Oryctolagus cuniculus: one gene and its partner. The main gene of each other region encodes a partner of the protein of the gene in region 2 in a complex. Links are inferred from orthologs where the notes say so. Each region holds a gene or a part of one and is shown on either strand. Other genes may lie near its edges.

Evidence for each region. Proteins that work in one complex are often made in the same cells at the same time.
Region 1: BAZ1A (region 2) and CHRAC1 share a complex: the UniProt entries of both Homo sapiens proteins name them as parts of the CHRAC ISWI chromatin remodeling complex. The link is inferred for Oryctolagus cuniculus from reciprocal best matches to the Homo sapiens genes BAZ1A and CHRAC1.

The regions. Positions count from the first base shown.
Region 1 is NC_091437.1:165,601,520-165,605,238, forward strand, and holds CHRAC1 (chromatin accessibility complex protein 1), read left to right. Parts: upstream 1-1,464; 5' UTR 1,465-1,585; coding exon 1,586-1,729; intron 1,730-2,340; coding exon 2,341-2,467; intron 2,468-2,548; coding exon 2,549-2,655; 3' UTR 2,656-2,887; downstream 2,888-3,719. UniProt on the Homo sapiens protein: Forms a complex with DNA polymerase epsilon subunit POLE3 and binds naked DNA, which is then incorporated into chromatin, aided by the nucleosome remodeling activity of ISWI/SNF2H and ACF1.
Region 2 is NC_091443.1:40,730,992-40,735,018, forward strand, and holds part of BAZ1A (bromodomain adjacent to zinc finger domain protein 1A), read left to right. Parts: intron 1-1,142; coding exon 1,143-1,267; intron 1,268-3,177; coding exon 3,178-3,301; intron 3,302-4,027. UniProt on the Homo sapiens protein: Regulatory subunit of the ATP-dependent ACF-1 and ACF-5 ISWI chromatin remodeling complexes, which form ordered nucleosome arrays on chromatin and slide edge- and center-positioned histone octamers away from their original location on the DNA template to facilitate access to DNA during DNA-templated processes such as DNA replication, transcription, and repair.

The DNA.
Region 1 (3,719 bases), on a different chromosome or scaffold from region 2:
CCTTCCTCCTAGCTCAGGCTCCTCCCCAAGCTTAGCCCACCCTGCTCTCACACACACTCGCAAGGGAAAGGCTGGCCAGCCAGGGACCCAGAACCCTGAGGCTTAGAAAAGATGTCCACACGACAGTCGCGCCCTACTGTGGGGCTGCCTCTCGCCCAGCGGCTCCTTTGTGCTTTGTGACCCTCGAGGGATTCCTCGCTCTCAGGGGAACCAGCGCCCCTGACCAGGAGCTGACCCTGAGGGCAGCGGCTTCCCCACCCTCTGCAGCGCGGGGCGGTGCCAGGGTGGCCTTGGGAACCACACCTGCTCCCCGGCCTCTCCTCCGCCTTCAGCCCCAGGGCCACCCTTCTCCCCCAGCTGCCTGGCCGGCCACAGGGCTGCTTGGGTCCTCAACGTGTGCCCCTCCCTCCGGCTGTGGGGGTCGGCAAGCGCGCCTCGCGCCAGCCTTCTCCATGCCGGGTCTCTCCCTTCCCTGTCCTCTCTCCCGCCACATCCTCGCGGCCGCCCCACCGGACGAGAGCTGTGCGGCTCCCTGGCTGTGCCTTGCGCTCGGCTCTGTGGGCCAGAGCCCGCGGTCGCATGGGGGAGGACCACGTGTGCACTCGGCTCTGCTCTGCCGAGACCACCCACTCGCCAAAGCACTGACAGAAACAGGAAGGAAGCAGGCAGGCACCGCCTGTTCCTCAGGGACCCCTCACCCAGCATGGCTAGGGCGAGGGGAGGGCGCCGCCGGGAGCCTCGAAGTCCGCCCTCGCCCCTGCACCTCGCCGGCCACTGCGGGCTCCAGGTGGGCCCCTCGGCCTCCTGACAGCTCTCTCCCCAGGCGGGGGCCCCAGGGCAGCTCTGAGCAGTGCCCAGGGGCCCGGGGGCAGAGCGGGGGCCCCGGGGCAGCTCTGAGCAGTGCCCAGGGGTCCGGGGGCAGAGCGGGGGCCCCGGGGCAGCTCTGAGCAGTGCCCAGGGGTCCGGGGGCAGAGCGACGATGGGGGAGACGCCGGAGCCGGCCCGCCCGGCGAGCTCCGCACCAGGCCCCGGCAGCGCTGCTGTCCTCGGGAAAACACGCCCCAGGCCACTTCCCCCGACTGCCGTCACCCGCGGCGCGCTCGTCCCTCTTCCTCTCCCAGTCCGGCTGGCGTCACCGTCCCCCGAGGCCCGGACCCCACCATTCCCGACCGCGGGCTCCGCCTCCGAGCCGAGCACGGCCCCTCGTGACGCCTCGGACGGCGCTCGCCGAGCTCACTCGAGGCGAACCGTCCCCGGGGCGGCACGACCAGTCGCCTTCGCTCGCCCGCCGGCCGCCTTGCTTGCTGCCCCGCCCTGCAGCCTGTTCGCCCGGCTGCCCCTTCCAACCCCTGCCCGTGGGACCGGCCGCTCGGCCCTCGCATGCAGGGCGCCCGCCCCCGGGACAGCGCGGGCGCAGGCGCAGGCGCGCGGGGCATCACGGGGCTTGTAGTTCGCACGCGGAAGGGCCGCGCTCCTGCCCTGCGCGCGCGCCTCCGCGACACTACAACTCCCACGGGGCAGTGGGCCGCGGGAGCCCGCGCCGACCGACTGGCCCGGCCGCTCCTCGCAGTGGGGCCGCCGGAAGATGGCAGAGGTGCCCGTGGGCAAGGATAAGTGCGGGGAGCGGCTCGTCTCGCTGCCCCTGTCCCGCATCCGAGTCATCATGAAGAGCTCCCCCGAGGTGTCCAGCATCAACCAGGAGGCGCTGGTGCTCACGGCCAAGGCCACGGTGAGGCGGGCGAGGACGCGGAGGGCGGGCGGGCGCGGGGCCGCCCTGAACCACCGCGCCGCGGAACCCGGCCCGCCACGCTGCCCAGAGCCCTCGGCCCGCTCGCCGCCGGCGGCTGTCGGCAGGCGCGTGCGCGCCGCACTGCCGCTCCCACCCCCGCGTCCCTCCCGCCATCCCCTGCGCGGGTCCCGCCCCGCCCGCCCGCCGCGTCCCTCCCGCCGTCCCTTGCGCAGGTCCCACCCCGCCCACTGCGCGTCCCTCCCGCCGTGCCTCGCGCGGGTCCCGCCCCTCCCACCGCGTCCCTCCCGGCGTCCCCTGCGCAGGTCCCACCCCGCCCCACGCGCGTCACTCCCGCCGTCCCCTGCGCGGGATCCGCCCCGCCCACTGCGCGTCCCTTCTGCCGTCCCCTGCGCGGGGCCTTCCCCGCCCACTGCGCGTCACTCCCTCCGTCCTCTGCGGGGTTCCCGCCCCGCCCACCGCGTGCCTCCCGGCGTCCCTCGCGCGGCTCCTTCCCGCCCACCGCGGCCGGGGAGGGTTCTGCACGGGGCCCGCGGCGCCCCGGCTGCCCCGTGTGCTCCCGCGGGCTCAGCGCGCTTGTCCGTGCCGCCCAGGAGCTCTTCGTGCAGTACCTGGCCACCTGCTCCTACAGCCAGGGCGGCGGGCCCGAGCGGAAGGCGCTGACCTACAGCGACCTGGCGAGCACCGCGCAGCGCTCGGACGCGCTACAGTTCCTCGCAGGTAGCCGGCCCGGGACGGGGCGGGCGCGAGGGGGCGCGGGGCGCCGCTGACCCAGCTGACCCAGCTCTGTGTCCATCTCAGATATATTACCGCGGAAGATCTTGGCGAGCAAGTACCTGAGGATGCTGGCGGAGCGGAGGGGCGAGGAGGCGGAGGAGGGCGGCAGCGACGAGGAGGCCGCGCCTTGAGCCCGGGGCCCCGACCCCGGGTCCCCGCCGGCTGGAGCCCGGGGCCCGGAGCCCAGAACCCTGAGCCCGGGCGGGCCCCGGTTCCCGGCTCGCCCTGCGCGTTCCCGCACTGCCAGGTGCAGGCTCTGTCTGGTGTTTTAACATTGTGGTTGGCTCTTTGCCCAGATACTATTTTTTTATTGTAAAGCACCGTGTTTGCGTTTTCTATTAAAGACCGGTCCGTATTCTCACAGTGAAGTGTGTCTGGAATACTGTTAGAGCCGGGGCACTCTGAGCTGTGGATCCCCGAGGGTCCAGCGGTCCAGACGGGCGCCCCGCGACTCCGGGGATCCACAGGTGGGAGCGCTCGCTTGCTCCCTCCCAGAGAAGCTTAGAAGACAAAAACATTGTAACTACTCTAGAAAAACATTCATTTATCTGCGAGGTAGAGTCACGGAGGGAGACGGGGCTCCCATCTGCGGTTCACTCCCTAAACGGCCGACCCGAAGCCAGGAGCTTCTGCCGGGTGTCCCACCTGGGTGCAGGGCCCAGGCACTTGGGCCGTCTCCACTGCTTTCCCAGGCCACAGCAGGGAGCTGGATCAGAAGTGGAGCAGCCGGGACCCGAACCGGTGGCCGTGTGGGATGCCGGCTCCACAGGCGGGAATTCCCCCCACTGCACCACGGTGCCAACCACAGAACTGCTGAAAGGCGGCCGCCAGCCCTGACCCTGCGTGGGAACAGCGGGCTGATGGGTCCAGGCCGTGAGAACCACCGTGCAGGGCAGACGGAGAGCGGAGCACAGACACGCGGCAAGGCCCTGTGGAGCCGGGAGCTTACGAACACCCAGGACTGATTTATGTATTTGATTTCGTAATTTCACTTGGAGTTTTCCTCTGGGAATAAAAGTCCATAGATTAGGGGGCTGGCACTGTGGCGTAGCAGGTAAAGCCACCGCCTGCAGCGCCGGCATCCCATACGGGCATGGGTTCCAGTCCTGGCTGCTCCACTTCCGGTCCAGCGCTCTGCTGTGGCCTGGGAAAGCAGTAGAAGATGGCCCAAGTGCTTGGACCCTTTCACTCGCAT
Region 2 (4,027 bases):
TTTAGGTGAAATGGTCAGAACAGACAGATGTATAGAGATAGAAAGTAGATGAGTGGTTGCCAAGAAGCAGCAGAATATGAAGAAATGGGAAATGATTATAGGTGAATATAGGATTTTTCTTTTGGAATGCTGAAAGTGTTCTGGAATTAGATAATGATAATGATTGTTAACCTTGTGAATATACAAAAAATTACTTAATTGTAATATTATAAATGGTGATTTTTATGATATGTAAATTATGTCTCAGTTCTTTAAAAAGAAAGAAGCATGGTATAGATTCCACTTCATATTTCTTATAGTTGACCAGCCTCACTTTTTTATATCTGGCTCCTGCATACATCTGAGCTTGCAAAACTCCACTTTGGATAGGGAACATAAATAGTAGAATGTATTTCCAGGCTCGTGTGATTTTAGTTTTAATTTAGATAACATACTAGAGAAAACATATGGTATTCACTCTGCCTCCTGAGATCTGTCTGAAACTTGTCTGCTTTTCTCCTCCTGGTTTGTCTGTTTATTCCTTCCTATTCTGAACTGCCTAGCCAACCACCTGCACTAGGAAAGTGCCTTCTTTTCTTGGTTCCCCCCATCTACTTTTTCTGCCAGATAATTTTCCACATAGCAACCAGGGTGCTTTCTAATCAATCAGTCATACTTTCCTTTTCTAAATACTTCAGATTTTTTCCCCATTGCTTTTTGGATAATTCCCTACAAGCCACCGCATAACATAACCTTTCATTTTTTTTCTCATCTGTATCTTGAATTACTACTTTTTCATTTCTGCTTTCTTCAAAATTACAAGCTCACTCTTTTTCTTTTAGCTTCTCTCCTGCCTGCCCACTCTTTGCCAGGCTCCCTGGTGTCACAATTTAATGTCACTTCTTTAGGCAAGCAGGCTTTCTTAATCTCTAAAACTTGACTTGACTCTTCTTGAAATGCTAGTACTTTCAAGATCTGCTTTAGTACTTTCTAATTTTAATATGCTTTATATAGTTATCCATTTTCTCTGCAAGACCATAAACTCTGTGTCATGTTGTTTTCTACTTCCTAAACATAATGCCTGGTACTTCATACGTAGGCAATAAATGTTTCATGAGTAAAATTATATTCATTAATAAATGTAATCTGTTTTTATCCTAAAGGGAGGAAGAAAGGGAATATTTTGATACCAGCACTGAGAGCAAAGAAATAGAGCAAAAAGAACTAGATCAAGATACAGTCACTGAAGATGAAGATGACCCTGGATCACATAAAAGAGGCAGAAGGGGTAATAATGGAATTTCTTAAGGGCATGCTTGTTTATTTTTAATTGATAAGGCACTATATTAATTCAGCTACTTTGAAATTGATGATTTGTGATTCCAAATATATGTTCTTTTGATTCCAGGGTGCATTTTCTTATTAATACACACCTCATAGATATGTTGAGTTGTAAAAATTGTGACTATTTTGTGAGGAGATGAAATTATAAAGTTATATTAATATATTTGTGATTATTAGGTCTTTATTCATATGTAATTTGTACCTTAGGGAAGAGAGAGAACATTCCTGTCTCATTTATGTCAGTTCCTTGTAACTTCAACTTTTAGTCAGCAAGTTTTGCTGAGCTTTTGCATTTACTATTTCATGTGTTTTATTATTTTTTATGATTTTTTTTAAGATTTATTTATTTATTTGAGAGAAAGAGTTAACAGAGAGAGGAAAGGCAGAGAGAGAGGTCTTCCATCTGCTGGTTCACTCATTAGCTGGCCACAATGGCTGGAGCTGCGCTGATCCAAAGCCAGCAGCAGGAGCTTCCTCCGGGTCTCCCATGTGGGTGCAGGGGCCCAAGGAATTGGGCCGTCTTCCACTGTTTTCTCAGGCTATAGCAGAGAGCTGGATTGGAAATGGAGTAGCCGGGACTCGAACCTGGTGCCCACATGGGATGCCGGCACTGCAGGCGGCAGCCCCAACCGCTGTGCCACAGCTCCGGTCCTGATTTCTTTATTTTGAAAGTCAAAGTTAGAGAGAGGGAAAGACAGAGAGAGATCTTCATCGACTCGTTCACTCCACAGATGGCCTCAATGGCCAGGGCTGAGCCAGGCTGAAGTCAGGACCTAGAAGTTCCATCCAGGTCTTCTATGTAGGTGCAGGGGCCCAAGTCCAGTACCAATTTCCACTGCTTTCCCAGGTACATTAGCAAGGAACTGGATTGGAAGTGGAGCAGCCTGGACTTGAACCAGGGCTCCAATATGGGATGCTGTCATTGCAGGTTGCAGCTTAGTCTACTGCATTAAAAAGTCATCTCTGATAAATAAATTTTTTAAAAAATGGAACAATAGAGAAGAAAAAAGACAAAAGTTCTTTTGGAAAAGAAACTTAGACAACCTTTGTTGAAAGTGATTTTTTATAAGAGAGGGGATCAATAAAAATTAGAACTAAAAAGGGGAACAGCATAACTATAGATACAGTAGAAATATAAGTTACAGAAAGATACAGCTTTCTGGCAATAAATTTGAAAATACAAGCAAAAATTGAAGTGAATCCTAGAAAAATAGCAATGATCCAAATGGATCTGTGAAGACGTTTTAAAATGTGAATGATCCCAAACATTAAAGTATTTGATTCACAGTGCTGGCATTGTAGCACAGCAGGTTAAGCTACTGCATCCCCATATGGATGCCAGTGGAAGATGGCCTGAGTACTTTGGTCCTTGCCACCCATGTGCTAGACCTGGATGGAGTTCCAGGCTCGTGGCTTTGGCCTGGCCCAGCCCCCGCTGTTGTGGCCATTTGGGGAGTGAACCAGTGAATGGGAGAACTCGGTCTCTCTCTCTCTCTCTCTCTAATTCTACCTTTCAAATAAATAAATAATATTTTAATAGATTCAGCACTAAAAGTCTTCCTACAAAGAAAAACATCAGACTTAGCTTTCTGAGTAAATACTTCCAGATTTCAAAGAAATGGATAAATCCATCTTCACAAACTATTTTAAGCAAAAACAATAGAAGGAATATTCTCCTATTATTTAAGCAGTTTAATGGCTACTAAAACGAGAAAAGTTTAGTTCTCCAACGTATTGTAAAAGTCCCAACAGCTCATTAGTGGTCCAAGCTCTTCTATGTTGGTACTCCCATTCTTAGGATTTTGTTGCTATTCTCATGTTCCAAAGTAATTTACCACCATGTCTCCATTTTAGCTAGTTGGAAAGGGGAAAAGAAGAAAGGAAGTAGGACCCAGAAGTTACATAAGTTACACAGACAGCCTCTGCTCCCACCTCTGAGCAGAGGTTCTTCATGGAGTCAAGCCTCCTGTGGGAAAGGGTATCCTTTTGGATTCCAAGATGCCTATCTTAAAATTAGTGGTTTTGTTACCTTAAAGTGTTGGATAGAAAATGACAGCTTGTGCACCAAATCTGGCTTGCCCTTGCCCTCTGTTGTTATAGACTTCAAAGGCTAAAAATTTTCAAATAATTGAAAAAATGAATCGGGGGAATGATCTTAAATGTCCATGAATGAGGTTTTATTGAACACAGTCAAGCTCATTAATCTATATATTGTCTAGTACTGCTCTTACATCATAATGGCAGAGCTGAGTGGTTGCGACAGACCCTGTGACCCACAGAGCCTAACGTATTTACTAGCTAACTCAGGTAGTTTGCTGATCCTTACCTTAAAAGAAGGGCTATGTGGCTGTTACAGGTAACTAATAGACTGTGCTCTTCAGTGTGCACATAACAGATTTTGCATGTTCCTCTAGACTGAAGGGTATCGGTTTCTTATAGTGTCTTAGTCTACTCAGACTGCATACCAACAACAGAGATCTGTTTTCTCATAGTTCTGAAGGCTGGAAGTCCAAGATCAGGTGCCGGCAGGGTTGGTGTCTGGTGAGGTCTCTGACTGGCTTGCAGATAGCATCTTCTTGCTGTGTCCTCAGATGACTTTTTCTCTGTGTATACCGAAGAGTGAGTGCTCTGGTGTCTCCTCCAATTCTTATGAGGACACCAGGCCTGGCAGATTAGGGCTGCACCCTGTGACTTCGTTGGACCT